4 linked regions of the Elephas maximus indicus genome follow. The protein of the gene in region 1 interacts with the protein of each later gene in a pairwise test. Links are inferred from orthologs where the notes say so. Each region holds a gene or a part of one and is shown on either strand. Other genes may lie near its edges.

What was found.
Region 2: the proteins of GABARAPL2 (region 1) and KIAA1958 interact in binary tests that used the Homo sapiens proteins (3 or more experiments, as listed by UniProt). The two-hybrid records come from large-scale screens. The link is inferred for Elephas maximus indicus from reciprocal best matches to the Homo sapiens genes GABARAPL2 and KIAA1958.
Region 3: the proteins of GABARAPL2 (region 1) and BCL2L13 interact in binary tests that used the Homo sapiens proteins (3 or more experiments, as listed by UniProt). The two-hybrid records come from large-scale screens. The link is inferred for Elephas maximus indicus from reciprocal best matches to the Homo sapiens genes GABARAPL2 and BCL2L13.
Region 4: the proteins of GABARAPL2 (region 1) and RETREG1 interact in binary tests that used the Homo sapiens proteins (3 or more experiments, as listed by UniProt). The link is inferred for Elephas maximus indicus from reciprocal best matches to the Homo sapiens genes GABARAPL2 and RETREG1.

Annotation. Positions count from the first base shown.
Region 1 is NC_064839.1:41,234,831-41,242,350, reverse strand, and holds the start of GABARAPL2 (gamma-aminobutyric acid receptor-associated protein-like 2), read right to left. Parts: upstream 3,341-7,520; 5' UTR 3,232-3,340; coding exon 3,198-3,231; intron 2,878-3,197; coding exon 2,822-2,877; intron 1,709-2,821; coding exon 1,536-1,708; intron 1-1,535. UniProt on the Homo sapiens protein: Ubiquitin-like modifier involved in intra-Golgi traffic. Modulates intra-Golgi transport through coupling between NSF activity and SNAREs activation. It first stimulates the ATPase activity of NSF which in turn stimulates the association with GOSR1.
Region 2 is NC_064827.1:61,736,017-61,744,107, reverse strand, and holds the start of KIAA1958 (uncharacterized protein KIAA1958 homolog), read right to left. Parts: upstream 3,286-8,091; 5' UTR 3,046-3,285; intron 1-3,045.
Region 3 is NC_064822.1:55,261,010-55,269,317, forward strand, and holds the start of BCL2L13 (bcl-2-like protein 13), read right to left. Parts: upstream 3,412-8,308; 5' UTR 3,216-3,411; intron 3,209-3,215; exon of another isoform or gene 3,095-3,208; intron 1-3,094. UniProt on the Homo sapiens protein: May promote the activation of caspase-3 and apoptosis.
Region 4 is NC_064820.1:20,172,717-20,180,329, forward strand, and holds the start of RETREG1 (reticulophagy regulator 1), read right to left. Parts: upstream 3,543-7,613; 5' UTR 3,453-3,542; coding exon 3,178-3,452; intron 1-3,177. UniProt on the Homo sapiens protein: Endoplasmic reticulum (ER)-anchored autophagy regulator which mediates ER delivery into lysosomes through sequestration into autophagosomes.

The sequences.
Region 1 (7,520 bases):
AGCTGCTTTAATTGCTAGATTAATGAGGAGCCATCAGAGTAACTTTACTGTCTCCAGAAGCCTGCTTCACTTCCTTCGACATCCTTTGAGAAGTATGGATCAGAGTTGAGGAAAACAAACTTGATACCATACGAACTAGTCACCTACTTCCTCCTCCAAGAACCCACCTCCAGGAAGGAAGAAACAGGGTAGCCAAGGCCCTGCTGAAGTTGCAGGTATATAAATGAAGATTACCTCTCAACAACCCTAAGGGAAGTTGAGAGTGACCACAGATGCCCAGGGCTTCCTCCCCTAGTGACTAATACACCCAGCAACATACTGCCCAGAGGCCTGTGGGGAAGGAAGACTAGAAAAACCCAATGAGGTGACAAGATCACCTCTGACAACATCACAGCTTTCACAGACCAATGGCAATGGCACCCAGTGGGCAGGCCCTGGCCTAGCTCCCCAGGCAGGTCACTGGCCTTAAAGAAGAGCCTTTTATTTTTCCCATGTCTTGCCTCTCTTCCAAACACTGGGACGTGGAGGTGGTAGAGACTGAGAAAGAGGAAATCAGACCTAAAAATAGCCACAGCTTTCTACCTTTAGTAGAAATAAGGTTTGGAATTTGGCTTAGGTCTCTTCTGGAGCTTTTAAGGATTTTCAAACAGAGCCTATTTTGGCCACACTGGGCTAGTTCCCAGGGCTTCTGAAAGCCTTAGCTTTTAGAAATACTACTTTTGGGGGTAACAAAGGAAACTTTAGTCTTGGATCATCGAGATAACAGCCACCCAGGGGAAAGGTAAGGGTTAAAATCTGGTTCCAGGTCTACAAGTACCCAATCAGTAATGGGAAAAGACTGGCCAGTGGTTTAGATGGAGCCAGTCCCTTTTCCTCTTTCCACAGGAGACAAAAGCTGGGTTGTCAACTACATGGAAAAGGATTGTAATGCTCCTGCCTAGATTTAGGCTCCAAAGTTTTAACGCCAAAGCCTGCTTCCAGGCAGCAAAACAGAGTATGGTAGCCATTACTCTGTGGGTCAAAGCTGGTGGTATGGAGGGAGGTATCAGTCTGTAAAGAGACCTTAGAGCCCTTTACTGGACAGCAGCCATTTTAACGAGCTTGAGAATCAGGCACTACAGACTCTCACCGTGGCAAGAGCTGACTGAGTTTGGAGAGCAATCAGGCAGGGAAATTAGCTGACGCTAAGCCTCAAAAGGGACTACAAGCTCCTGGTGAAGAGTGACAGGGCTGATCTGGAGAAAACTTCATTTCAGATCTCAGTTCTATGCCTGAGTCTGCAACTGTTTTAAAGGATTCCTGGGCGTCTGAGGATGGGTTTCATCATTAAAAAAAAAAAAACTCCAGGCCTTGTTCTGTACTCCTAAACGAAGTGCACTCCATGTACTGCAGCCCTTCCTCATTTTCCTGGTGCTCCTGATGTCTTGGTTTCCAGCCAAGAGCCCTAAGAGTTTTTAGACCTCCAGAGTTCTGAGTTCTGTATGCAGCTAAGCAAATGGCCAAAACAGAGGGGCCATGTAGTGACCGTCTCTCACCTGGATTGTGGGACTGTCTTATCCACAAAAAGGAAGATAGCCTTTTCAGAAGGAAGCTGGATCCTTTTCCTGATGATCCACATGAACTGAGCCACAGTGATGTCAGATGGAACCAGGTACTTCCGTTTGTCAATGTCAACAATCTGAGAGCCGGAGACTTTTTCCACAATCACCTGAGAGAGTAAAGAGAAGTCAGAACTGGATTTCTAAAGTGAGGCTCTGGCCTTGAATTGTCAGGACAATTGATGAACAGAGTGTGGGCTGGGAGGTGGGTAGGAAACTATACAGCATTAGAAAATTAGTCCCTGGCTTAATAAACCACACACTCCAGAGGTTGAGGGCTGATATAAATGTGTTACATGAAATCAGGCAGTACTTTTCTATGGTCAATTATATTTCTTATCCCTGATCTCAGCCTGCGTAAGAGAAACGCAGCCCTTACTACTAAGCTTTTCAACAGTTTGGGCAGACCCAAGAATTATCTGGTGAGGGTTTCATGTATAGCCTGTTACTCCAAGGCCTAAATTGAATCCGCCTTCACATTACAGGAGAATTAAAATCTCAAGGAACCCAGGAGACAAGAAGGGATGCACTAATGGGAATGACTGGCAATCCCAGCCAGTCAAGAATGAAGGTATTCATCTGGCTTGTTGCTTTTCTGTGAACTATGTTTCAAATTTGCCCCCTGCCCCCAAAAGAACTGTTCACAAAGAGCTTCAATAACAGGCCTAGATGTCCTCTAACAATAAAGATAACAGAAACTATCTACTCCAGCATGAAAAAAATATGAGATCACATTTATTGTTGATTAGGGGAAACCAGGGGAGAAGGGGTTTCATTGTCTTCTCAAGTTTTTTTTGTCACCAAGATGACAGGGTCAGGGTGAGGAAACAGAGCTAGAGATTGGCTAAAAATTAAGGCTTGAAGTTAAAAATGAATGTCCTGAGACTCAAGTAGTACTTCCACGATCAAAGTGACAATCTCCCTCCATCACCATTCCCAAAAGTGGCAGTGACCTGTTGCCCTGTCCTAGAACAACGATCCTTATGTAATTAGCCAGGGAGCCCAGAGGCTGCAGACAGCTCGCTGGCCTAGATCGGAAGATTCAGCACTGAGGAACCCTGAACAGCACCAACCCGAGCCCCCTCACGCCGGGCACCTGACCGCCCTAACCCAGTCTGGCCCGTCTGCTGGTAGAACTGGGACTAGAACCTCAACTTATCACTGTAGATTGGTCTAGGGCCCTAGACAGCGAGGTGAGGGGGCGGGGGAGGCCGAACACTCACCGGAACCCGGTCGGGATATTTTGCTCGGATTTTCGCGGATTCCACGCATCTGTGTTCTGCGGGGAGTAAACACAGGGGCTGACGGCCGAGCAGGTGCGGTTCCTGGGCCCCCAACCTTCCACCCCCTGCGACCTGCGCACGCCCCGGGCCCTGGATCCGGCGTCCCCGCGGCCGCTGTTCTCTGTTGCTGGCTCCCGGTCGGGCCCACGGAGGGCGGAACGGGCTCAGTGTTTAGCTGCCCGGGGTGCCGAGACTTCTGCGACCTAAACCCGGGGTGCGGCATCAGCCCCGCCCGGCCCAGGGCGGCCCGAGTGGGGGGAGGGGGCCCACCCGCCGCCCCAACCCCCCGCGACCCAGCTAGCCTCCAACCGCTTACCCAACGAGTGGTCCTCCTTGAACATCCACTTCATGGCGGCGGCGAGAAGGGGACCGAGACGGCTCTCGGAGCCAAAGTGTTCAGCGCACCGACCACAACAACGACGACGGCGGCGGCAGCGGCGACTACACGGCAGGCGGGACTTCCGGCAACCAAGCCTAGCAACCGGCGGGGGCGGGGCTTCCGGTGCCGTTGTCCGGACCCCAAACGCAAGGGGCGCGGCCTCACTTGAAGGGGAGGGGTACAGGAGGACTTCGCGGGAAGCTGAGCGGTAATGGAGGACGGTAGCCTTGACTACGGGTTGGGCGAGTTGGTCCGTGAGGGGATGTTTGGGGAACTGGTGACTGGAGCGGAGTCACGGTGCCCGTTGGTGACAGGAAGGGGAGATTGGGCGAATGGCGGATAGGACGGGGCTCTTATGAAGGGCTGTTGACGGGGGAGAGTGGAGTGTTGGTGACAGGAAAGGGATTTAGGGGATATGAATGACTGACGAGATGTCTCTGAAGATTGATGACGCCAGGGGGCTTGCGAGTATTAACAGTTCGGGGAGCATTGTTAGGAGCGGTGGCAGGTTGGAGGCTCTGTATGGGGGTGTATGACTAGTTTGAGGCGACTGTGGGGAAGGGGTACTTATGACAACACGAAGGTGTAGTAGTGAGTACAATCAAAATAGGTTGCCTTGGACATAGAAATCAAATTTAAACAACTCCCGTTTTCTTCTCTATTCGTGAATAAATTTTTAAAACATTTAAGAAAAGATATTACAAATACTCATTTGAGGAGTGTAACATCACTGATCACGAAGAGACTCGCCTTAACCTTAATAAGCAGAGGAGTTAGAGGTGACTGTCAGGCTTAGAGAATCCCTCTGGCAGCTGGTCATGAGACAGGATTCCTTGTTTTGCACCCAGATTGGGGTCCAGAATTCACAGCTTGGGCTGAGCATGTATCACCTGCCTGGGCACATGCCTTGAGGTTTTCCAGTCCATGATGTAATTCCCTTTTTCCAAGCAGAGTCATCAGGGCAGTCAAGACTGGGTCATTCTCTGTTTATAAGCTGGTGAATAGGTAACGAGAATATTCACTTAATTGGGCACATGACTCCTGTCACATGCTTGTGATTCTGATGCATCTGGAAGTCCTATATCTTTGAATATTGTCATTCATAATTTTCTATAGTTGAAATTCCTGATGGATGCTGTGGAATCTAGCTTCATTCTTAAAGTATTTTTTTTTAATTTTATGATTGTGTTTCTGAGCACCCAAAATAGATTTTTGTTTGTTTTTAGTGAAGTGAAAAATCCTTTTAATTTCATACATAGAAATTAGTGTCTTTGCATATAGGAGCACAGTTCTAAGTGCTGGGGAAACAGCAGTGAACAAAACAGATGTTTCTGTTCTTACAGAGTTTACATTCTAGTTGGGCAAAATAACGTCAGATCATTATAAGTGCTCTTTAGAAAAATAAGACAGGTTAGGTGATTAGAGAATGTTGGTGGGATGGAATGCTATTTGGATAGGGTGGTTGGCATATTCTAGAAACAGAAAGGAATCCCTGCAACTCGAGATGAGTAAACAAGGGCAAGTGTTTTAGAAGATGCGATCAGAGAGATCTAGAATAAAACTGTGTTGAGCCTTAAATGCCATGGGAAGAACTTTGGATTTTATCAGAATGATGGAAGTTACAGCAGAGGTGTAACACAATCTGCCTTGCCTTTTAAATGATCAGGCTAGCTTGTGTGTAGACAGTAGACTGTAAGGGGGTGGGGGTGGAAGCAAGGGAACCAGTTAAGAGGCTATTGCAATAATCTAGGTGAAAGATAATGTTAGCTTAGATTAGGATGGTGTCTATGGAGGTGATGGGAAGTAACTGTATTCTGGATTTATTTTGAAAGTAGAGCCAACAAATAGTTTGGTTGTGGGATGTGAGCAAGAAGTCAAAGTCAAGGTTCTTAAAGGGGTAGAATTGCCATTTACTAAAATAGGGTGGAGTCAGTTTGGAGGTGGAATAAAGAGTTTGGTTTTACAACATAGACCAATGGAACAGAGTTGAGAATCCAGGCATAAATTCCTCCACCTATGAGCAGCTGATATTTGACAAAGGCCTAAAGTCTGTTCAATGGGGAAAAGACAGTCTCTTTAACAAATGGTGCTAGGATAACTTAGTATCCATCTGCAAAAAAATGAAACAAGACCCATACCTCACACCATGCACAAAAACTAACTCAAAATGGATCAAAGACCTAAATATAAAATCTAAAATGACAAAGATCATGGAAAAAAAATAGGGACAATGCTAGGAATCCTAATACATGGCATAAACAGAATACAAAACATTATTAACAACACACAAACACCAGAAAAGAAACTAGATAACTGGAAGCTCCTAAAAATCAAACACTTATCCTATCAGAAGTCTTCACGGAAAGAGTAAAAAGACAACCTGCAGACTGGGAAGAAATTTTAGGCTACGACAAATCTGACCAGGGTCTAATCTCTCAAATCTACAAGATACTGCAAAATGTCAACAACAAAAAGAAAAGTAACCCAATTAAAATATGGGAAAAGGTTATGAACAGACACTTCACCAACAAAGACATTCAGGCAGCTAACAGACACATGAGGAAATGCTCACCATCGTTAGCCTTTAGAGAAATGCAGATCAAAACTACAATGAGATACCATCTCACCCCAACAAGGCTAACATTGATCCAAAAAACCACAAAATAATGTTGGAGAGGCTGTGGAGAGATTGGAACACTTATACACTGCTGGTGGGAATGTAAACCACTTTGGAAATCGATTTGGCACTTTCTTTAAAAGCTAGAAATAGAACTACTGTATGATCTAGCAATCCCACTCCTCGGAATATATCCTAGAGAAATAAGAGCCATCACACAAATAGATATATGCACACCCAGGTTCATTGCAGCACTGTTCACAATAGCAAAAAAGATGGAAACAACCAAGGTGCCCTTCAGTGGACAAATGGATAAATTATGGTATATTCACACACTAGAATACTATGCAACAATAAAGAACAACGATGAATTCATGAAACATAACATGGATGAATCTGGAAGGCATTATGCTGAGTGAAATCAGTCAGTCACAAAAAGACAAATATTGTATGAGTCCACTATTATAAGAACTCAAACAAAAGTTTAAACACAGAAGAAGACATTCTTTGATGGTTACGAGGGTGGGGAGGGAGGGAGAGGGGAATGCACTACCTAGTAGTAGACAATAATTATCTTAGGTGAAGGGAAGGACAATACACAATACAGGGGAAGTCAGCACAACTGCACTAAACCAAAAGCTAAGAAGTTTTCTTTGAGGGACAGAGTAGCAGGGGTGGAGGTCTGGGGATCATGGTTTTGGGGGACATCTAGGTCAACTGGCATAACAGTATATTAAGAAAATGCTCTGTATCCCACTTTGGTGAGTGGTGTCCGGGGTCTTAAAAGCTTGCAAGCAGCCATCTAAGATGCATTGATTGGTCCCAAACCACCTGGAGCAAAGGAGAATGAAGAACACCAAAGACACAAGGAAAATATTAGCCCAGGAGACAAAAAGGGCCACATAAACCAGAGCTCCATCAGCCTGAGACCAGAAGAACTAGATGGTGCCCAGCTATCACCAGTGACTGCCCCGACAGGGAATACAACAGAGAGTACATGACGGAGCCGGAGAAAAGTGGGGTACAGAACTCAAATTCACGTAAAAAGACCAGACTTAATGATCTGACTGAGACTAGAGGAATCCCAGAAGACATGGCCCCCAGACTGTCTGTTAACCCAGAACTAAAACCATTCCTGAAGCCAACTCTTCAGACTAATAATTAGACTGGACTATTTTTTTATATATATAAGACATAAATGATACTCATGAAGAGTGTGCTTCTTAGCTCAAGTAGATACATGAGACTAAATGGGCAGCTCCTGTCCGGAGGCAAGATGAGAACGCAGAAAGGGTTAAGAGCTGGTTGAATGAACAGAGGAAACCCAGGGTGGAAAGGGGGAGTGTGCTGTTACATTATAGGGATAGCAACTAGGGTCACATAATAATGTGTGTATAAATTTTTGTATGAGAAACTAACTTGAGCTGTAAACTTTCACCTAAGGCACAATAAAAATAAATAAAAATACAATATTAAAAAAAGTTTGGTTTTTGATATATTAAGCATGAGATGTCCAAAAGACACTTCTAGGTGAAGATGTACAGTAGGTAAATGGATTTATGAGTCTCGAGCTCAAAGGAGAAGTTGGAGCTATAGGTATACATTTGTCATGAGCATATGGATAGTATTTAAAACTATGGACT
Region 2 (8,091 bases), on another chromosome or scaffold:
ATTAATCCAAGAATGAATTCTGCATTTTTAGGCGATCAGCATTGGCTTCCACTGTTCTTAAGCAATGCAGGATAAGGTCTGGAATGGGAGGTCATTGCCGGTATCTCTTAGAATCAGACCTGCATCCCCACCAGACTTCAAAAAACAACATGAAAAAGGACTTGAAAGTCACAGACCTATTATAAAGAATCAAACTCTTACTTTCCAGCTTCACTTTTGGTTACTATTAATCATACTGCTAGTCATTTGAGGGTTCCAGTTAAAGTGGCCATTTTAAGTTTCCTTTAATGAGAATACATTGATAAGTAGCAGATAGGAAAATGCTAGAAAAGTCCAGTAAGCTGTGGACAGCTTAGTGTTGTTTTAAAACAAAAACAAATTGCTGTCAGGTTATATTGCTCAGATATAGTTAAAATTCCAATTTTACACAAATTCAAAATTTCTGAAAGCAGCATCTGTTTGTCGTAACAAAATAAAGCAGGAAAAAATATTTCAACCGTGAAAAGTGGCAAATTTATATGCCTTCCTAAACACCAACTTACCAAAAGGGAGATCAATTGAAAATATTAAAGGTTCTCTGGAAGGCTTCTGATTATGCTAAAATATTACTGTTAATTATAAAAACAAAACAAAAAATTAATATCTGCACAGCAGAGTTAAAAAATAAAAAAAGGTATTATCCTTTAGCCGGCCCACACAAAGACACTACACTGCCAGTCTGAGAGCTCTATTAGGCACAACTCCAACTCTGCCAAAGCTATTCTCAGCACAGGCCACACAAAAATATTAATATTTAGTTTACACTGTGGTATTCTGTTAAACTTTCTCATGTCCACTGACAACCTTGTAAACACATAAACAATTCAATTTTTAAGCTTATCTTTCTTAATACTTCAAAGGGTTGATGAAATTACATGTATCTAAGAGCTGAAACTCTGGGAATGGTTTAGAACTTCATTCCAGATTCATGATAAAGACTGAACAAATTTCAATACCCATCCTCTTTGGGCCATCTTTAATGGGAAAGGAAAAGCAACATTTGTCAAGGGCCTTCCAGTCCCAGGGACAGAGCCTATCAGAGTTCTGTGCCTTTATGCAGTTTCAATTCATTCATCTCATCTACACCGGAAATCTAAAGCAAGAACTAATAAAATATGATCTGGAGTGATCACTGTGAAATGTAACCTCTTCTAGGTTTTAAGAAAAGTGTTCATAAGTATACGCTATACACTCCAGGCATTTATAAAAGCAGTCATACAATAAATAATATTACTCTGTTAATGTAACTGGGGAAATAATCTGGGATACATTTTTCTCCATAGAAAAAGACCACTATTTTAAGCATACTAAATTATTTTTTCTTTACAGTGACAAAAATTAGCTTGCTTAATTACAAAGGCACTAAAATAGTATTATTATTTTCTGATGAATTTCTACACCATACTTTACGAAAACTTAAATACTTTCCACCTTCATGTTTTTCATTTGAGTTTGGATTTTTTTTTTAAGAAAGCCTCCATTTTCTACATGTGACTGCATATAATTGAGTACCCTCAAATCCGATTTTTTAAACATCTCTTTGGTAACTGTCAGACTTAAGCTTGTCAACATATATTCTCATATACTAGGGAAAAATATACATATTTGTCTTCAAAAGTAAGCAACAGATTGACATTAATACAAAGAATAAAACTACCTGTATTAAAAGTCTGAATCTGTGAAGAGAATTGTTTGGGTGCTTATTCATTTATTTGAAGATCTACAAATACATACCAACTGTTAAAAAAAAAAAGCCAGCTAATTAAATAATATAAATCGGAAATATCACCCTACAGTACTTTTCAAAACACTAAATTCACCATATACAACCCAACAGAATATATAACTATATATAATAAAATAAAGAAGGCACTATCGCAGGGAGGAAAAATCCGTTTTAACATTCATGTTCTCCCATATGTGTCAAATGTCTCATATCTTAAACCGGCAAAATGAAGGTTTTAGCCAGAATGATAAGTGATAAGCTAGATAAACGCTTATTTCCAATTTAACCTCCACACTGGAGGCTGTCACCACCTGACTCGCCTGTTGTTATTTTAATGGGTCGAATTTTCTATCATGTTAATGCTAAAGAGTCTGGGAGATAACAGAACTTTACCCTAAAACTTTAAAGAAACAAAACTTAATATGTAATTGTAAAAATAACAGCCATGTTTTGTTTTTGCTTGTCTGTATCTAATCTTTAAAAAAAAAAAAAGTCGCCAGGAAAACAAAAACAGGTCTTTGATCTTGGTCCGATTTCGGTCAGCCCACGCTCCTTTCACCCAGGGGGATACGTTTCTTGATATATTTGATAACAAACACAAATCACTGTGCGCAGCCTCAGATGGGGGGAGGCTTTCAGAGAAAGCCCTCCTCGGTTAGAAACAATAAATAAGAGACCGAAGCGATCGTACGTTCCTACACACACGCCCCAAACGCACCTCAGTGTGCCTCCGGATGAGGGAAACAAGTCCGGCAAAGCCCTGAACCACCTCTCTCCCTCTCTCTCCATAGCCATCCCAAGACTTGGAAACTAGAGTGGCAGATCTCTTCTTTCTCCTTCCCGCCCTCTTTTCCACCTCAAACAAATCCAAGAGCAGGAGCAGGCGAGCCAGACCCATGCAGTGCGCCCGCGGCCGCCGCGGCCACAGGAGATGCTAGGCGGCCGGCCGTCCGGCCCCGGAGGAGCCGAGATCACAGCTGCGGCCGCCACAGCCTGCGCTCGCTCCCGGAGCCCACTCGGCCGCCTGGGGTCTTCACCTCTGAGACCGCCCCCCCCCCAGCTTGTTGCCGCCAACGTCCAGCCGCCCGGTCCCTGCCCTCCCTCTGGACCTCTCCCCCCACAGAGGAGACAAAAGGAAGGTTCAGCCGGGTCACTGCGCGGCAGCGGAGGGGAAGGCAGAGCAGACCCCAGCGGGGCCACCCCCCACACAAAGGGGTTCCCCAGCCCAGGTCGCAGTCTCAGCGTGCTCGTCCCCGCCCAGCGCACGGGCTCTCACCCACCTGCAGGTGTCTGTGCGTCTGTCCATAGGAACGCGGGCGATGGGGGGGCCTGCGGGAGCCGGGCAGCCTAGGCTGGACGGGGCGGGACAGAGGAGAGGGAGGGAGAGCGACCAAGGGGACCCGGACCGAAAACAAGTGGAGCGTGGAACGCGCCCGGCGGGCGGCGGGTGGGGGCGCCAGTCTGGCTCGGCCAACCGGCGCGCGCCGCTCCGTGCGCCCCGGGCTCCGAGCGCCCTGCTCGGAGCGCGGCGGGCGGGCGGGCACGAAAGGGGGGCGGGGCACGGGCGGGGCGGGGCCGACGAGCGGGGCGGGGGCTCGGACCCCCGGCTCCAGCCGCCACCGGAAACGCGCCGTGGTCGGCGAGACCCACAGGAAGTGTGTAACGACACCTCCTACGACACGCACCGAGCCTACAGTCGTCGCTGCCTGGAGGAGGTGTGCACCACCCTCCTTACACGCACACGCGCGCGCTGGCTGGGGAGGTTTGTAACAACCCTTTTTCACGCTCTGGAGCTCAGTCCCCGCTGCCCGGACAGGTGTGGAGCCTGTGATCTCCATTATGTTCCGGAAGTGTGCAGCGTGCGCTCCTACCGCAAGCCCCAGTCCAAGGACCTCGATACCCCTCGGAGGTCCATACACCTCCAACTAAGACGCAACAAACAAAATCTGATCTGTTCCTCGGTATGTGACACCTGTTAAAGTGCACTGAGCAGACACCTCTATAGCCAGGGACGAATAAGAGCACGTCTGACCGATATACAAACAACCACAGTCAACCACCTCGTGGAGGTTTCTAACATCCAACTACAACACACACACCCGTCACACTCCCCCATCCCACAGGAGCCGGGGGTGGTTAATGAGTCCTAAAACAAACTTAGAACTAGGTCCTCCCACACTCCATGGAACCATGCAATGACACCACCTACAACAGAGGTGAGGCTGGACGTGCTACATGCTACTGGGTATCCTCCACCTTATTTAACACTTTAATAGTACTTACTGTGTACTCGGACTTTGCACTAAGTGCTTAAAAAAAAAAATGCTTAGCAAATATTAATTCATTTAATCCCAGCAACTGTTAGTTGCTGTTAGTATCCCCATTTTACAGATGGGGAGACTGAGGCACAGAGAAATTAAGTTTGCTCAAGATCACATAGCTAGTGGCAGAGCCCACATTGAATCCCAGGCAGTCTTGCTCCACATCCCATGCTCTTAACTTCCTTTCTTCTTAACAGCACAAAGCATCTCCAAAATAATAATGATACTAATAAATAACATTTAGAACATATCTGATTATTCATATGCCACTTTCTGTTTGTCTTCTATACCTCTAGACACAAATCAACAATGCCCCAGGAAGAAAAATGACTGAGAATATAGAACTGATGTCAATATGTTTCCCTTCTTCCTGGGTTCTAAGAACCTCAAGATGTTGGCCTTACCCCGCTTGTGACAGGAAAGCCACTCCTATGCTTGGGGTAGGCGAAGGAAGAAAAGAGAAACACAGAGACAATGAAAGAGAGAGGAAAAAGAATCCATGGTCATCCAAAACCCAGGTGAATAACTTATTTTGTCACCTCAGGCAAACTCTCCTATATGGCATTCTACACCAATTCTTCTCAATCTCCAGAGCAAATATTCTTAGGTCAATATTCTCAGCACCTTGTTCTGTCAAAACTCTGCCTGATCTAGGCTGAATAAAGTAATCTGTGTAAACATTTTTGACAAAATAATGTCTGTGCAAAAAACAAACAAAAATGCAGTTAATTACTGCATATTTCAAAGTTGAAATCCCGTTTGTTTAAATGAAATTTCCATCAGGATGAATTTTTTTAATTATGCCAGCTATGATGGAGTGGAGCTTGTTGAACAAACTAACTCTCCCACTGAGAACTATAAAAGCTGGATTTTTTTTTTTAAGGGGAAAAAAAAAACTTTAAAGCTATTGGAGAGCAAAGTTGGCCAAATTTTGACAGTCCAAGAGTACAGGAAGAAGGAGAACATATTGAAGTGAGTTCTATATTCTCAACTACTTTTCCTTCTTGGGACGTTGTTGATTGGTGTTAATGAGTATAGAAACCAAGCAGAAAGTGGCATCCTGGAGCTGTGGCAGTCTCATCGGGCTGGAGATTTCTTTAAAAAACAAAAACAAAGGACACTAAGTCTATCAATGCAGCTTGGAATTGGGGGACCAAGATCCCAGAGAATAGGCAATTGAAGGAGCCAGTCACTCTATATGTCATTTTCCCTCAAAGCATTTCCTGATTCCTAACCTGTGCATGCAAGAAGTCAAGAAAACAAGTAGAAAGCAGCTGTTGAGAAAAAGAAAAAAAAACTAACCAAAAATTGTTGACAGTCTCATGACGCTGGAAAGAATTAAATGGGAAGGATGGTCCCTGGTAAACCCATCTCCCCTGGGCTTTCAGTTGAGAGCCTTGAAGAACTATATCCTGGGAGCAAAAGCAAAGTGGAAATAGCCCTCACAATGCCTAAAACACAGCTTTGAACTATCTCAGTCCCTGGTTGGATCAAGGTGATCTTCCCATGTTCTGCCTGCCTGGAAAAAAAAAAAAAAATCCCCGTTGGTGGAAGAGCCTTTAAAATTTTTTGTATACAAAGTCTAGCATTCCATCAACAGTTACCAAATATGCCAAGAATAAGAACACTCTTAACAAAAGCCAAGAGGAAAAAAAGATAATAGACACATGATCCAGATATTATAGATATTAACCTTTAGAATAGCTATGGTTAATGTGTTCAAAATAATAGATAATTGGATAGAGACTGCCACTAGGGAAATTGAACGTTAAAAAAAGAATCAAATAGAGTCATCAGGAAAATGCAGATCAGAACCACAATGAGATATTACTACACACCCATTGGAATAGCTATAATCAAAAAGACAGATAAGTGTTGGTGAGGATGTGGAGAAATTGAAACCTTCATACACTGTTAATAGCATTGTAAAATGGTGCGGCCACTTTGGAAAAGAGACTGGCAGTCACTCAGAAGGTTAAACATAGAGTTACCGTCTGACTCCGCAACTTTTCTCCTAGGTGTATACACAAGAGAAATGAAAACATATGTCCACACAAAAACTTGTATGTGAATGTTCATAGCAGCATTAGTCATAATAGCCAAGAAGTGGAAACAACCAAATGTCGGTCAACAGATGAATGGAAAAACAAAATGTGGTCTGTAAATATCACGGCAATATTATTTGGACACAAAAAAGAACAAACCTCTGAAGCATGACATGATATGGATGAGCCTTGAAAATGGGGTGATATTATTTGAAGTACAATAAGACAAGTTACATATTGTAAGCTCTAGAATGACCTCTAGAAAATACAACAAAAACAAATAGCTAAAATGTCAATAAAAACCAAACAAAGCTGTTGCCATCGAGTCGATTTCAACTCATAGCAAACCTATATGACAGACTAGAGCTGCCCATAGGGTTTCCAAGGAGCACCTGGTGGATTCAAACTTCCAACCTTTTGGTTAGCAGCCATAGCTCTTAACAATTACGCCACCAGGGTTTCCAAAAAGTCAATAGTGGAGATAAAATGGAAGGCAGAATGAAATGGATGAAGGCCAGAAAAAATGAACAAAGATATACAGAATAAATGGAAAAGAAGTAAGATGATTGTATCCCTTTGGGATCAATCAGAAGAGAGAAACTACACATTAGTTTGAGCTGGGAATGTTTAATATAAAGACTTACTAACTGTAACAGGGAATTGCAGTAATGAGGAAGTACCTGTAGGAAGTAAAGAGAATCCTAAAGAAAGTATAATAGCAGATATAGAGAATGCCCTGATGGGCTGAGGGAGAGCCCCCAGGAAGAGGAATTCCTCCCCGCAGCTGAGATGCAGACATTTTTGAGAGGGCATTGCCGTGGCTCCCCCACGTGTCTGTCAGTTTGTCGTACTGTGGGGGCTTGCACGTTCTGTGATGCTGGAAGCTACGCCACCGGTATTCAGATACCAGCAGGGTCACCCATGGAGGACAGGTTTCAGCTGAGCTCCCAGAATAAGACAGACTAGGAAGAAGGACCCAGCAGTCTACTTCTGAAAAACATTCCCCAGTGAAAACCTTATGAATAGCAGTGGGAAACTGTCTGATATAGTGCTGGAAGATGAGCCCCCCAGGTTGGAAGGCACTCAAAAGATGGCTGGGGAAGAGCTGCCACCTCAAAGTAGAGTCGACCTTAATGACGTGCATGGAGTAAAGCTTTTGAGACCTTTATCTGCTGATGTGGTGCAACTCAAAATAAGAAGAAACAGCTGCAAACATCCATTGATAATCAGAACCTGTAATGTACAAGGTATGAATCTAGGAAAATTGGAAATTGTCAAAAAGGAAATGGAACGCATTAGTGAGCTGAAATGGACTGGTATTTGGCCATTTTGAATTGGACAATCATATAGTCTACTATGCTGGGAATGACAACTTGAAGAGGAACGGTGTTGCATTCATCGTCAAAAAGAATGTTTCAAGATCTATCCTGAAGTACAACGCTGTCAGTGATAGGATAACATCCATATGCTTACAAGGAAGACCAGTTAATAAGACTATTATTCAAATATTCACACCAACCACTAGGGCCAAAGATGAAGAAATAGAAGATTTTTATCAGCTGTTGCAGTCTGAAATTGATCAAACATGCAATCAAGATGCATTGATAATTACTGGCGATTGGAATGCAAAAGTTGGAAACAAAGAAGAAGGATCAGTAGTTGGAAAATATGGCCTTGGTGATAGAAAAAATGCTGGAGATTGAATGATAGAATTTTGCAGGACCAACGATTTCTTCATTGCAAATACCTTCTTTCACCTACATAAACAGCAACTATACACATGAACCTCGCCAGATGGAACACACGGAAATCAAATTGACCACATCTGTGGAAAGAGACGATAGAAAACCTCAATATCATCAGTCAGAACAAGGCCAGGGGCCAACTGTGGAACAGACCATCAATTACTCATATGCAAGTTCAAGCTGAAACTGAAAAAAAACAGAGTAAGTCCGTGAGA
Region 3 (8,308 bases), on another chromosome or scaffold:
GCCGTCGAGTCGATTCTGACTCATAGCAACCCTATAGGACAGAGTTGAACTGCCCCATAGAGTTTCCAAGTAGTGCCTGGCAGATTCGAACTGCCGACCTCTTGGTTAGCAGCCACAGCACTTAACTGCTATGCCACCAGGGTTTCCAATTCCAGCTTATGGAGAGAAAAATAAAAACCTAAAAATCCACAGATAACTCAGTCCTAAATTAAGACTCTGGAATTTTAAACATTAACACTTCTTGACTACCAGATCTCTAGACTCAAGGCTGATAGTTTGAGCAGGTAAGTTTTTTGTTTTTTTTTTTAATTCTGCAAATTAACATGAAATCCAATAACTGCATTTTCTAAGCCATGTTTTACTTATTTTTTTTTTTTATACAGTCCTGTCGACTTGAAGGCACAGAACAACAACATAGAATCCTAAGACTTTCTTCAGAAGAAGCAGAATAATCCTAAAAAAGATTGCGGAAACCCTGGTGGCGTATGGTTAAGCGCTACGGCTGCCAACCAAAGAGTCAGCAGTTCGACTCCACCAGGCGCTCCTTGGAAACTCTATGGGGCAGTTCTACTCTGTCCTATAGGGTCGCTATGAGTCAGAGCCAACTCGATGGCACTGGGTTTTTTAATAAAGATTGTGAAGCTGCAAATTCATCCCACCCACCTGCAAAACGCAAGACAAGCAAGGTGTCATTTTTTTAAAACTCAGCAGACAGTAAGTTGTTATGTAGGCTCTCTTCTTCCAATTGAACATACATGCCTAATGGAAACACTCTAGTTCAATCTCGTGTTAAGAGCTGTCCCCAAAATATTTTCACTCAGCAGTTGGCATTTCTAGGTAATATACGTAGAGTTGCTACATATATTCGGAATCTAATCCACGGCAGTTGGTGGTTATATGTAGAGAGGAAGGCCTCATTCTCAAGTCTTCCCACAAACACACACAAAAAATCTGACTCCCACAACAGGTTAATTAAGCTTCCCATTTATATGTATATAGCTTGAGGACACAGAATTCTACATAAACATAACAGTCGTTAAAGACACAAATCCAAAATAGACATAAAATTTGATTACTCTTTCACTTCCAGGTATATACCCAAGAGAAAACGAAACACAAGAATTTATACACAAATGTTCGTAACAGCATTACATATTCATTATTCATAAGAGCCAAAAAGTACAACTAACCTAAACCGACTAATGAATAAAATGTAGTATATTCATACAACGGAATATTATTTGGCCATAAAATGGAAAGAAATCACGATACATGCTACAAAATGGATGAATCCTGAAAATACTATGCTAAGTCAAAGAAATCACCTACAAAAGACCAAATGTTGTGTATTCCATTTATGTGAAATTTCCAGAACAGGCAAGTCTATACACAGACAAAAAATAGATTAGTGGTTGCCTGGGATGGGGAGGGAATGGGTGAGGGCCAGGCATGGGGAACGACTACCAATGGCTATGGTGTTTCTTTTTGGAGTAATGAAAATGCTTGTACAACTCTGTGAATGTAGTAAAAAATCACTGAATTGTACAATTCGTAGATTGTATGGAATACTCATTATGTCTCAATGAAGCTGTTAAAAAAAATCAGCTACTCTGGAAATGGCTCCCCTTCAACTCTGTAATATACATTAAGCAAGAACTCTTGATGACCGTTTATTTGGATTAAGATATGGATCAAAATCATGTATGAAAAAGCAATAAGCAGCAGGGTGGGTACTAAGTGATTATTTAAAAATTGTCTAAAATATTTAAGAAAAATATTTTTAAAACAATGATTATTACTGAATAAATATATTATCTGATTTATTAACTGATGAGCTACTAAGCACACTTTTCTTTACAAAGCTGGCTGGATTCAACCTTAAACAAAAAAAACCTGTTGCGGTCAAGTTGATTCCGACTCAAAACGACCCATCTTAAGTTGAATTCAACTTCTATGTCACATTCCTCCATAAGAAAATAAGTCATTTAAAAAAAAAATTTAGAATGGTACCGGGCCATTCAGATTAAAGAGGATTTACAAAACGCTTAACTGCCTATTATCAAATGAAGAGTACTTCATAATGGCTTAAGTATTTTCAGTCTGCAGGATCAAATGTGCAGGTACAAATGTCCAACTGTGTACGTGAAGTCTAAGCAGTTCACACAATACTTAATTTTCTGGGTTTTTTTTAAAAAAAGGCATCAGAAGGGTGTGGCATCTCATCCAAGGTCACACAACAAGTCAGGGCAGAGGTCAACATTCTGGTTTATACCAAGCCTCCGGGGAAAAATTCTACAGACAATTTCGTAAAAAAGGCTTTTTGTTTGTTTTGCTTTAAACCATAAAGCCAAAAAAAGAGGGAGGGGACAAACTGTCAGCTCAGTTCAAAACTTCTACGTAGAGACAGAAATAGTGATTACGGATAAACAACTTGTGCAGGGAGCGGTTAAGAGCTAAACAGAGCTAATACCAGTCAAGAGCATGTGAACAACTAGTCAGATCCGTCCGATTTTCAAAAACATTACGCTAAGTCAAAGAAATCAGCTTCAACTCAAAAATTCCAAATTCTCCCTCATGTTCGGTTATGAAGGAAAGAAACTTGGGATCTCCTTATCCTCTCCTTGGAATGTTGCGAGCAAAGAAGGACTCAGTGTGAACGGTATTGCCTCTGAGGGTAAGAATGCAGGTTTTTATGAAAAAAATAATGGGCGTCAGAACAACAGTGAATTTAGAATAAGAAGTCCAAGATTTCTAACTATCTGTGACAATGAGCGACTGACAGAGCGGATCTATAATCATTCCAAGTGAGTCGCATAAAAACCTTTTTTGAGACCAAGAGAAGTCCACTTTCCCCAGTCTGGTCCTAAAAATGGAACCGGTTTTCCACGTGAAGACAGCCGTGGAGAATAACAGCGGTGCGGAGAATGGGCCAAGTTCCTGCGCCTCAGGCAGCCCACTCAGGGAGACGCTCTGCTCAACACGCTTTCACGGCGAGACCACGCTGGATAAGTCCGGTTATAATGAAACGGACCCCGTGGCTTCGCGAGCTCTCAGGCGAAGGGGCGTCGGCACACACACACACTCTTTTACTCACTCACGCTTCGCTGGGACCACTGGGGAGCCGGTGGGGTCGGCACAGTCTCTGGACACCGTCCTACGGAGGTGAAACCGCCTCCTAGCCCAGCTCTGCGTGCCCAGAACCCCACTCCCCTCACCTGGCCCTGGCCCCTGCCCCAGAAGAGATGAAAGTGGCGGCGACAGCGGCAGTTGCTTCCGACAGGGTCCCCCAGCGGCTGTGCCTGCTTTGACCCACGGCCCTAATCTACCGCCGCCGCCATCCGTCACCGCCAGCGTCAGGGCGGGCCCGGGACGCCGAGGAGCGCGGGAAGGGGGCGGTTCTGTTCTCCCAAACGGAAGCTGGGACAACTGAGATCTGGAGTTTCTTCGCGCAGACCTGACCCGGAAGAGCAGACCCTTTCTAGCTCGCTCTTCCCGGGAGTCGCTCAAATCTATGATCCATGGGATTTCGGAGGCGCCCTCGCCTCAAGTCATTTCCGGTCATAGAGGGCTAGGAGAGAGAGAGGGGAAAACGTTGGAGAGCCAATCGCGATGTTGGGAGAGAGGCTGGAGATGGCGCGCAGTGGAGCTTCGCTGCGTCCAAAGGATATGTTCAGTTCTGCAGATGTGTGTTGAGCTTCGAGTATGTGCAAGCGAGCCAATTAGATAAGTGTTAAGAGCTTCTCAAGTGCTGCGGGATTTGGACCCACTCCTTAGGGAAGATAGACCTTGAACGTTGGGGAAGATTTCCGAGGGCATGATGAGGGGGTAGGATAGAGGGAACCTTCTAGGCAGAGGCAACTTCCTGAGCGGAGACGCTATGGCGATAACAGAAGCCTTCAGTACTAATCCATTTTTAATAGAGTGTAGGAGAATAGAGAAGTCAAGGCTGCCTTGGAGCCATTTGTTCCTAGCACCTAGCACAGTGCCTGAATACATTGTGTGGCTACTAATCAAAGGGTCGGCAGTTCAACCCCACCAGGCGCTCCTTGGAAACTATGGGGCAGTTCTACTCTGTCCTATAGGGTCGCTATGAGTCGGAATCGACTCGACGGCACTGGGGTTCACTGGGTAATGGGTATTTGTTTACTTCAATCGAAGCGTCCTTTGGGGGAGTCACTGAAGGTATCTAGGGAAGAGGGTATAATAGCTAAACCATGTTTTAGGGCAGTCACATCGTCTGTGGTGTAGATGAGTCGAATTGGAACAAAGAGAGTTGAAGATGCGGAGTTAGGCTGTTGTAAGAAGCCAGATCAGAAGTGATAAAAACCTGATGAGGAGTGCCTTAGTTATCTAGTATGGCTGTAACAGAAATACCACAAGTGAATGGCTTTAACAAACAAATTTATTCTCTCAAATTTATTCTTCTAGGAGGGTGGAAATCCGAATTCAGGGCGTCAGCTATAGGGGAAGGCTTTCTATCTCTCTCTCTCTCTGTCTAGGTTCTGGGGGGAAGGTCTCTGTCATCAATCTTTCTCTGGTCTAGGAGCTTCTTAGCACAGGGACCCTGGGTCCAGAGGACTCACTCAGCTTCTGCATCTTCTTGTTTGGTGGTAAGGAGGTTCCTGTCCTCTATTATATCTCAAAAGAGATAGTCCTGTAGATTGTCCTGCCTTATTAACATAAAAAAAAATAAATGCCTCTAATCCTGCCTCATTAACATCATAGAGGTTAGAATTTACAACACATAGAATGATTACATCGAATCAAAAAATGGAGGACTGCCACACACTATTGAGAACCATGGTGTAACCAAGTTGACACATTTCAGGGGGAAACAATTCAATCCTTAAAAAGGAGTGACTGCTAACGAGTACAGGGGTTCTTTTAGGGGTGGTAAAAGTGTTCTAAAATTGATTGTAGTGATGGTTGGGTAACTAAATGGTGAATTGTATGATATGTGAGGTATCTCAATAAAGCTGTTAAAAAGGAAGTGATGAAAACCTGTACTGACAGAGGTGTGGTGGAAATGAAGAGAAGACTGAGATGGGTGTCATAGGATTCTTTAAGCCTGACTGGCAGAAAATGGTGGTGCCATTATCAGAGAAATAGGGAAGAGATTTGCCAAGAAAAGGCTTAGTCAGCCTCTAAGAGATTTACCCATAATTTCCTAGTATTATGTAATAATCTAGTCCATATTTACATATCCCCAACTGCCCAAGTATTTCCTTCATAATTTTGTTTATTTTTAAGCCAGGATTTAATCAATGTTTATACATTGCATTTGGTTATCTTTTATTAGTTTCTTAAGCCTTTTTTAATTTTTTAAAATGACATTGGCTTTTTGAGAGACCAGACGTAAAGACTTGATTAGATTCAGATTAAACATTTCTGGAGAAAAATTCTTCATACGTGAGGCTGTGTACTTCAGGTTACATTATGTAGGAGCATTTAGTGTGCCTGGAGTCCTGTTATTACTGATGCTAAAGTTGATCCTGTTCCCCAATAACCTTTCACTTAATACTTTCAGCATTCATGTATTATTCTTGCTTAAATAGTTTTCACTGAGCATTGAAAATAGTGATTTTCTAATTGCATCTTTCTACATTTATTAGCTGGCATTCTGTAAATAAGAAATTTTTTTATTTACAGAATCAACTGGGAATGAGTTCCACATGCTTTTGGCCGGGTGGGGGCGGGGTGAAGCAGAGTAAATACTTGAGTATTTCCTGTAATTGTCAATTTTTAGAGTCTGGAATTAGTGTAATAATCACTGTATGCTGAAACGAGTATTTTCATTTGTTTTTATTGTTTAACACTATGGACAAATGGATTTTTATTTATTAAATGGTTTAAAATACATTACAGTCATTGTTCTTTTTGACTTCCAAATTGTCCCTAATTTGGCCAGTGAGAGCCCTTTCAAGCACACTTCTATGTCAAAGGACACAGGAGTCTTTTTGAGAGCTTTCTTGCTCGCTGGTAAAATAAGATGTCCGGACTCACCTCATACCTTCCCCGCCCCAGACTGGGAATCAGCCATTTCTCCAAGGGCCTGTGGTTCCTTTTAGAGGGAAATAGGAGTTAGAAACCAAGTTGTGGATGTATTCTTATTTCTACCAGGTGTCCTTACTTCTAGGCCCTCTCAGTGGACAGATCTAGGAAATAGATATATATTTTTTAAGTCATAAATTCAAGTAGATACCTTCAATTCAAATATAACAAATATGTTTAAATATAACAAATATAACATGAAGGATTTTTCTTTTCTTATTCTGTATTTGTGTCTCTTGGTTCCTAATAACATTAATGTCAACTTGTTTGTTTTACCCTACAATATAATAATTTCAAAATTAATACATGGCTACTAATACAATAAAACTGAATAAAGTGTAAGATTTCTTTGCAGTTTTTTTGCCCACAGAATAGATCTTAGTAAGGATTTACAGTCCGTTCTGTTTAAAACATCAAACTTTAGGTATTGTTTACATAGAAAATCCTATAGGACCTAAAAACAACTACTAGAACCAGGAACCAATAAGTGTATTTAGAAAGGTCACAAGATATAAAAATCAATTTGATTTCTATACTAGCGGCCAACAACTGGAAAGTAAAAAAAAAAAAAAAAAAAATTAGATATTCCATTTACATAGCATCAAAAAATGAAAGTTATAACTTTTTTGAAAGACATGAAAACTCTACACAAACTAAAACATTGCTGAGAGAAATAAAGCTTTAAGTAAATGCAGAGCTATACCATGTTCAGAAATTAGAAGACTCAATATTGAGAAAATATCAGTTTTCTAAATTGATCTATCTGCATATTCAATGCAGTCCCCAACAAAATCCCTACAGTTTTTTTGTGGGGGGAGGGGGGAGTTGACAAGTTGATTCTAAACACTAATGCAGAAATGCAAAGGACCTAGAATAGCGAAAATGATCTTTTTAAAAATTGCAAGTCTCACTACCTGATTATAAGATTTAATACAAAGCTGTAATATCCAAGATGGTTTATTGGCATACCAAACCCATTTCCATCAAGTCTCATAATGAACTTACAAGACAAAGTAGGGTTTGCCAAGAAGGAGCTGGTGTGTTCGAACTGTTAACTTTTTGGTTAGCAGCCGATCTCTTAACCACTGCACCTCCAGGGCTCCATATGGGCATAAGGATAGACAAATCAGTAGAACATCAAGTCCAGAAATGGACCCCCACACATATGGTCAATTGGTATTTGATAAAAGGCACCAGTGTAATTCAATGAGGAAGGGAAAGTCTTTTCAGCTAATGGCTGTGGAACAGCTAGATAAACGTATGGAAAAAAATGGACCTCGATCTCTATCTCACACTATTTTAAAAAATTGAGATGGGTCATAGATCTAAATGTAATAGCAAAAACTGTAAAGCTTTTAGAAAAAAACAAAGGAATATCTTCACAACCTTGGAGTAGGTCAAGATTTCTTAGGACACCAAAAGCATGGACAATGTAAGAAAAGTTATTAAATTGAGCATCATCAAAATTAAAGGCTTCTGCTTATCACAATATACCATTAAGAAAATGAAAAGGCAAACCACAGACTGGGAGAAAATATTCACAAAACATGTATCTGACAAAGAACTTGTATCCAGAAAATTAAAGAAGTGTCTTGTTGAAGGGCCTGATCAGGCAGCACCCATAGAGGCCACGTTTGTGAGGTGTTCAGGAGCAAATGGAAGCTACTAGAGGATTATATATTGGGGAGTGAATGGATGCTACCTGGGTTTTAAATCACTGTTTTGTGGAAAATTGGTTAGAAAAGGGTAAAAGTGCAGGCACCTGAGTTAGAGGTGTGCTACTTTCTGCTACAATTTGTTTTTCCTTTTTAAATTGATTCCTCAAACATTCAAAGACAGAAATTATCTACATTAATTTCTAGTCTTCCCCTTTATGTCCTACCCAGCAAACAAATTCATGAGTTAGCTCTTCTATTCTGCTGACTCAATTTCTAATTTAACCACATAGTGAAGCCTCAGCATGGTAGTAGGTGAGACAATGCCACAAATTATCGCTTTGTAACTAACCTAACAGTTATCTAGGCCAGTGATTTTGGTGAAGCCATAGGCAAATAGGCTTATCCAGGAGTGAGGATTTTTTAAATATTTCTAAAAAGCTGTTTTAATAGTTTCTTCACAAGACCTAAAGCAGTGTAGGAGGAAATTCAATTTGGAAAACTACCGATTGGTTACTCTTTGCGTGTACTCATTATAACTTTTTCACTCCAGGGATTCTCTCTGTGAAGTTTACCACGTTCTTATCAGACAGGTCCTGGCC
Region 4 (7,613 bases), on another chromosome or scaffold:
GGCTAAAGTCCTTAATATAAAAAAAAAAGCTCCTACGAACCAATAAGAGAAAGACCAATGGCCCAATTTTAAAAAATGGAAAAAAGTTATTTATAAACAGAAAATGCAGACTAAAGACACTTACAGTGGCTCTTGAGCATAAGAAAAAAATGTTCAATCTCATAGAGAAATGCAAATTAAAACCAAATTGGGATATCTTTTGTCATCTATCAGATTTGCAAGATCAAAGAGTTTGATAAAATGCTGCTGGCCGGGGTGCAGAGAAACAGGCAGTCACACACACTGCAGGTGGAAGTACCCATTGATAGAACTTCAAAGAGGTGCAATACCGTGAAACCCATCAAAATTACCAGCGCATGTCTCCTTTGACACAGCAATTCCACTTCGGAGAATTTACCCTACAGAAATACTTGCATATATGCAAAATGATACATGCACAAGGCCATCAGCTAGAACGCTGTAATACCAAAGTTTGGGAACAACCTTAGTCCATCAGTAGTGGGCAGGTTAAACTTTCAGAATTCTATGCTTCTGAAAAAGAACGAGGAAGTGATCGGCAAGATATACTGAGAAGAGTAATGTCCATATACCCATTGCCATCCAATTGATTCCAACTCACAGGGGCCTTGGAGGACAGGGGAGAACTGCCTAATAAGGTTTCCAAGGCTGGAAGCTTTACGGAAGCAGACTGCCACATCTTTATGCTGTGGAGTGGCTGGGGGGTTCAAATCGATGACCCTTCAGTTAGCAGCCAAGCGCTTAACCACTGCACCACAAGGGTTCCTTATCACCCACACAGTATTCCACAATTTGCCTAGAATACTAAAAACTGGTAACACTGATTGTCACTGGGCAAAAACTAGGTGGCCAGGGACAGGCTTGAGAAAGCGAGTTTTAGAGTATTTACCCTGCGCACCTTTCCAGGTGGTGATGCAGCTAAGGGCTTGGCTGTTAACCAAAAGGTGGGCAGTTCAAATCCACCAGCTGCTCCTTGGAAACTCTATGGGACAGTTTTACGCTGTCCTTTACGGTCACTATGAGTTGGAATTCACTCGAGGGCAATGGGTTTTACCTTTTTGTACCTTTAAACTTTTGAACCCTGAGAATGTATTAGCTATTCTTAAAAATAAAATTTTAAATAATAACCAAAAAAAGCTTTAGAAACATGTCCCCCATTGGTAAGATACATGAGATAATAAGATCTGAGCCTCTTCACAACCCTAACAGTATTTGGCCTGTTGCCCAATCGAGAATACTACAATATATTCTCCATTTGAGTGTTTGTGTAACTTCATAACAGGCTGGAGTTTGGGTTTTTTTTTTTTTTATTGTGCTTTAAGTTTACAAATCAAGTTAGTCTCTCATACAAAAATTTATATACACCTTGCTATATACTCCTAGTTGCTCTCCCCCCTAATGAGACAGCACACCCCTTCCCTCCACTCTCTCTTTTCGTGTCTATTCAGCCAGCTTCTGATCGCCTCTGCCCTCTCATCTCCCTCCAGATAGGAGATGCCAACAGAGTCTCATGCGTCTACTTGATCCAAGAAGCTTACTCTTCACCACTATCATTTTCTATCCCATTGTCCAGTCTAATCCCTGTCTGAAGAGTTTGCTTTGGGAATGGTTCCTGCCCTGGGCTAATAGAAGATCTGGGGACCATGACCTCTGGGGTCCTTCTAGTCTCAGTTGGACCATTAAGTCTGGTCTTTTTATGAGAATTTGGTGTCTCCATCCCACTGCTCTCCTGCTCCCTCAGGGGTTCTCTTTTGTGTTCCCTGTCAGGGCAGTCATTGGTTGTAGCCAGGCACCATCTAGCTCTTCTGGTCTCAGGCTGATGTAGTCTCTGGTTTCTGTGGCCCTTTCTGTCTCTTGGGCTCATAATTACCTTTTGTCTTTGGTGTTCTTCATTCCCCTTTGCTCCAGGTGGGTTGAGGCCAGTTGATGTATCTTAGATGGCCGCTTGCTAGCATTTAAGACCCCAGACATCTCTCTCGAAAGTGGGATGCAGAATGTTTTCTTAATAGATTTTATTATCAGGCTGGAGATTTTTGAAATAAACTCTACCTTAGCTGTTACAGAGAGCTAAGAGATACAGCTAAGATGCCCAAGGTAAAGTTAATTCACACTCAGGGACCCGGATAAGACAGACATAGGTCATGTGAGGAGAAAAACAGGACTAGGGCAGAAGCTGCAGAAAAATCTTCACATTTCTCACGTTAACCTAGAAAATTGAGGGTGGAGTAAACTGTGTATATTCCCAAACTTTAAGGTGAAGAAATCTAGGTCCTGTAACAAGATACGTGTTTCTGAAACTCGGCTTATCCTGCACACTGGGGGTCATGTTTGTTCTGTAGGCACATTAGACAGAGGCTTCCCCCGGACCCCACCCTCATTCAGGTCGGGAGCCTTGACAGGATAAGTCCTTCAGTAAAGGGGCCAGACACTTCCCTACCTCCTTAACAGCGAAAAGCACTTTTTAGAGAGACAGACCTGTTGATTGTGGGCTTTTAAGAAAGCATTCCTGTGTGTTCTCTCTGTCCATCACCTAAAAATATGTCTGTTTTCCACACTGTGCACACCTGGAGGGAGGGATGCTGTACATAATCCACCTGTCTACCGACTGTTTTCTGGTCAGGGAGTAAAGACGGTAAACCCAACACTCCAGGGAAAGGAAAAACAAGCCATTCAAGGCCCATCTCAGGGGGCTCAGGAAGGCGGCGCAGCCTTGAACGTGTATCTAGGATGGTCCAGATTCGCCTGCTCGGGGTGCAGAATGAATACAAGCTCAAGCACGTTGGCTCAGGCATGCTTGGGCGAGCAGGTCAAGACCTGCGAGTTATAGAAAGGAAAAGCCGAAGTTTTCCAGCACGCCGGGCACACCTGTAGGGACAGGTGCGTGCAGGTTAGCTGACCACCTCCAGTCTCAGGCTGGATACACCCACGAGGTTGACTACTGTTTACAGGCGAGTGTGTCTGGAGGCAAGGTGAAGTGTCTACCTGTCCGAGGCAGGTGGCCCGGAAAGTGGGGCCGGGCTACGCTCTTTCTTCTGCAGTGCCCAGCGTGCGCCCCGCCAGCCCCCGCCCCGGCCTCTGGGCGCGCCCTCCGCCCGCCCGCCCCGGGGCGCCCCAAGGTCACCTGCCCTCCCCAGCGCCCCCACCCACCCGGGCTCTCACCAAAACAGCAGGTTGGCGCCGACGAAGGCGAGCAGGCTGCGCAGCGGCCTCTCCCAGCTCAGCAGCTCGTCGGCGCGGCAGCCCAGCCACAGCACCGGTTCCCCGAGCAGCCAGGTCTCGGCGGCGGCCGCCCGGCCCGCGGCCTCCTCCACCTGCCGCTCGGCGCCGGCCGCCGCGAGCTGCTCGTGGGCTCCCTCCTCCTCCTGCGCCTCCTCGCGGGGAGCTCGGGCCGGGCATCCCTCCTCCGCGGGCTCCGAGGGCGCCGGGCTCGCCATCTTCCGCGGCGCGGCGAGGACGCGGACGCGCGGCGCGCCTGGGTGTCGGCGGGTCCGGGCGCGGGGCGCGCAGCGCGGGGCGCCGGTGGTTGGGTGCCTTGTGACGTCAGCCCGGGCCGCGGCGGGGGCGCCGCCCGGGGAAGTGGGTGCGGCCAAGTTTACGCGGGGGCGGGGCCGGGCGGCATCCCCGCGCGGTGGGTGCGCAGCTGCGCTCTCTCCGGGGCGCTCGGACCTGGCACTGGCTTCGCCAGGGACCACAGAAAATGAACGCTACCCCCTTTTTGTTTCCGACTGGGGGAGTGGGTCTGAAGTAGAGGTGACGCCGCTGCAGGTTACTTATCTAAAATGAAGTCAAGGCTACAAGCAAAATAAATTGGACACCTCCACTGTCTCAAGCCAGGGCTACCGCCCGCCGGTCCTGGAGCCTGTGACAGCGGATTTCAGCCCCATCGAGTCCCCTCACCTTCCCCCAGCCCAGTGCCCTCACAGGGCACAGCCTGCACAAACCATAGGCATTGAGGTCTTTGGCATCCTGGAAGTACCATGAGGATATAAATGTTGGACTGAGAAAGCAGGGAAAAAAAAAATTGGAGTCAATTACGGAGAGCCTGATCCTCTCGTTTACAAGTGAGGAAATGCAAGGCCGCGGCGCTGGAGGAAGGCCCTTTCCCTCTGTGACTCTGGGTTTCTTGTGGGTAAAGTGACTTGGCTCAAAGGCACAGGTGAGTGGGGTTGCACTCAGTAAGGGACATCCCTGCCACCAATAAAAAGGGTGAGGGTGTGCTGTTGCTCTTCTCACATCCATTCTTTGTTCTGCGTTTTGGTTTCACAGTTTTCTTTACAAAGGTACTTTGATATTTAAATGTCATTTTACCTTTATAAAAGTATATAGTGTTCTTGCCCAGTGCCCCCCAAAGACACACCCTTTCCCAATTTTAAGGAGAGTACACTCCATAATAAAGAAGCTGACTCGATTTTTGCTGTCAGAGTACTCACCATCATCATCATCATCTACAGGCATTTATAGACAGGCCATTCTGTCACTGCAAAAGTAGTAGCAATTATTGAAAGCTTCCTTGGAAGTGCTGGCACTGGGAAAATTCAGGGCACTTTCACAGTTTCTATGTAGCAGAGCGAAGAACAGAGTCGAAGTTATATAAACCAGATTTGGCAAGCCCAGATTGCAGTTCTTTCAAAGTCACTGAGGTCTCCTGTCACAAGCAGGCACCAGGGTGGAGGAGAGGAGGCAGTGAGCAGATGACAGGGTCTCCTGGGACCTCACAATGCTGAGCCTCTTTGGCCCTGGGGCTTCTGGCTGAACAGTTGTGGGAGATGGGGAGTGATTGTATATGCTCGCTTTTCACTATTTGTGTTTTATAAATGTTTCTATTGTTTAATCTCCCAGTTCTTGCTTCTAGGATAAAACATTATCCCTCTCCCCCACCTGTACACACCCATCCCTAGAGCTCTGCATGCAATAAAGCAGGGCTTTCATATCTGAGTCGACCACTAGAACCAGCCAGCTTTCACAGGCTGCCTGGGGCTCCTTCCCAGAGCGCTCAAAGCCCTCTGCCTCAAGGGATTGTCTGGAGAAACATTCCTTCTGCTGATCTGAGTGGTCCTTGCTTATGTTTATACATGCATGTTGTTGTTCTTGTTAGGTGCTGTGGAGTTGGTTCCCAACCCTATGCACAATGCAAGGAAACACTGACCAGTCCTGCACCACTCTCAGAATTGTTGCTATGCTCGAGCCGATTGTTGCAGCCACTGTGTCAATCCATCTCATTGAGGGTCTTCCTCTTTATCTGCTGACCCTCTGCTTTGCTAAGCAGGATATCCTTCTCCAGGGACTGATCCCTCCTGATGATATGCCAAAGTATGTGAGATGTAGTCTTGCCATCCTTGCTTCTAAGGAGCATTCTGGTTGTACTTCTTCCAAGACAGATTTGTTTGTTCTTTTGGCAGTCCGTGGTATATTCAATATTCTTTGCCAACACCACGATTCAAAGGCATCAATTCTGTCAATTCTTCGGGCTTCCTTATTCATTGTCCAGCTTTCACATGCACATAAGGCGATTGAAACGCCATGGCCTGGGTCAGGCACATCTTATTCCTCAAGGTGACATCTTTGCTTTTTAATACTTTAAAGAGATCTCTCGCAGCCCATTTGCTCAATGCAATGTGCCTTTTGATTTCTTGACTGCTGCTTCCGTGGGAGTTAATTGTGAATCCAAGCAAAATGAAATCCTTGACAACCTCAGTCTTTTCTCTGTTCATCATAATATTGCTTATTGGTCCAGTTGAAAGGGTTTTTGTTTTCTTTATGTTGAGGTGTAATCCATACTGAAGGCTGTGGTCTTTGATCTTCATCAGTAAGCGCTTCAAGTCCTCTTCACTTTCAGCAAGGAAGATTGTGTCATCTGTGTGTTGCAGGTTGTTAATGAGTCTTCCTCCAATCCTGATGCCCCATTCTTCTTCATTTAGTCCAGCTTCTCGGATTATATGCTCAGCATACAGAATGAATAGGTATGGTGAAAGGATACAACCCTGATGCACACCTTTCCTGACTTTAAACCACACCGTACCCCCTTGTTCTGTTCATTACACGTGCATACACATATGTAAAAATCTATCCATTTGTGCTTTGCAGATGTGTGTACTTTTCTGTATGTATATTATATCTGAAAGAGGTATATTCCCAAAGGCCATGCACAGGTTTAGTGAGTACCTACTACATGCCCAGTGCTCCTCCACGAACTGTGGATACTGCTTCCACCCACAGGAAGTTCAGTCCAACAAGGAGCCAATTACAAGCGTGGTCAATGCGGTGACAGAAATAAAGACTAAGTGCTAAGAGACTCTTTGCTTAAGTTGAGCATCCAAAATTAAGGAGGGTGTGGAGGAGTCAGATTTCAGGAGGCTCTTTGGAATAGTTGATATCTGACCTAAATTGTAGGAGCCCCTGGGTGGTGCAAATGGTAACGCGCTTGGCTTCTAACCAAATGGTTGGAAGTTGGAGTCCACTCAGAGGTACCTTGGAAGAAAGGCTTGGCGATCCACTTCTGAAAAGCCATCCATTGAAAACTGTGTGGAGCACAGCTCTACTCTGACACATGTCGGGTCACCATGAGTCGGAACTGACTCCACGGCAGCTGGTTGGGTGCTACATTGTAAGAAAGGAGAATGAAGAGGGGGTGGGACAGGCACTGGTTTCTGATGGGAGATTAACACGAGGAAGGTATGGAGTTGCAGGTGGAGGTGCTGATTCAAGAAGCAGGGTTGGTTGTGTATATTCGCAGTGGAATGAAGTGAAAGATCCACCAGTGTCAGAAGTGGTTTTTAACCTGAAGGCCATGTGGAGCCCTTGGTGTCTTTTCAGAGGACCTCTGCCACCCAGTGGAATGTGGCCTGAGAGGCGGTGAAATAGCACTGTGGAAACAATGCAGGATTTTCCCCACAAAAGACAAACTTGTCTTTTCAGAGGTGTTGAGCTTCTCCCTTGGCCCTGGAGAATCAGCTTTTGAAAGATAAATGATGCTTTATTGTGTAATGTGGACTTCGTTTAGCATTTGATACAGCCCAGGGCTTGCCTCATTCTTAGACCTTTGGCTGCTCCTCTGGGAACCAGGCTTCCCCATTGCCCTCACCAGTGTTGAAGTGCTCCCAGAAAACATGATTCTTCACATTCCTCCTTCTCCCCCTGAATTCTAATTATTGGTGTCAGGATCTGTGAAAACAGCAAAAGCTGTTGAGGACCAAGATATGTGAAAGCTAAGCTCCAGTTGCTCGGTGTGGTTTGCAACACTTACTATCTTTGCTTAATGATAAACCTCCCTACTGGCAGCCCTCCTGTTTTTAAATACTACTCACAGGCAGAACTGTTTTGCATAAAGGGCTGGACTAATTGCGCTCATCTGTCTTTTGCACCTCTGGCCTCTAATAATGACTGACAAACAGGAACAGACACTGGCATAGACCCATTAACTGATGCTACTGAATGTCTTTTCTTTGTCTAATTATCTTTGTGATGCTTGAGTAATTCATTCAGTGCTAAGACTACATAAAAATAATGCTCACAGCGGTGGCAATAAACATCGTCCCCTAGTTGCAAGAACATACAAAAACCCAAACATACAGTGTTGAAAACTCCTGAGGGTAACT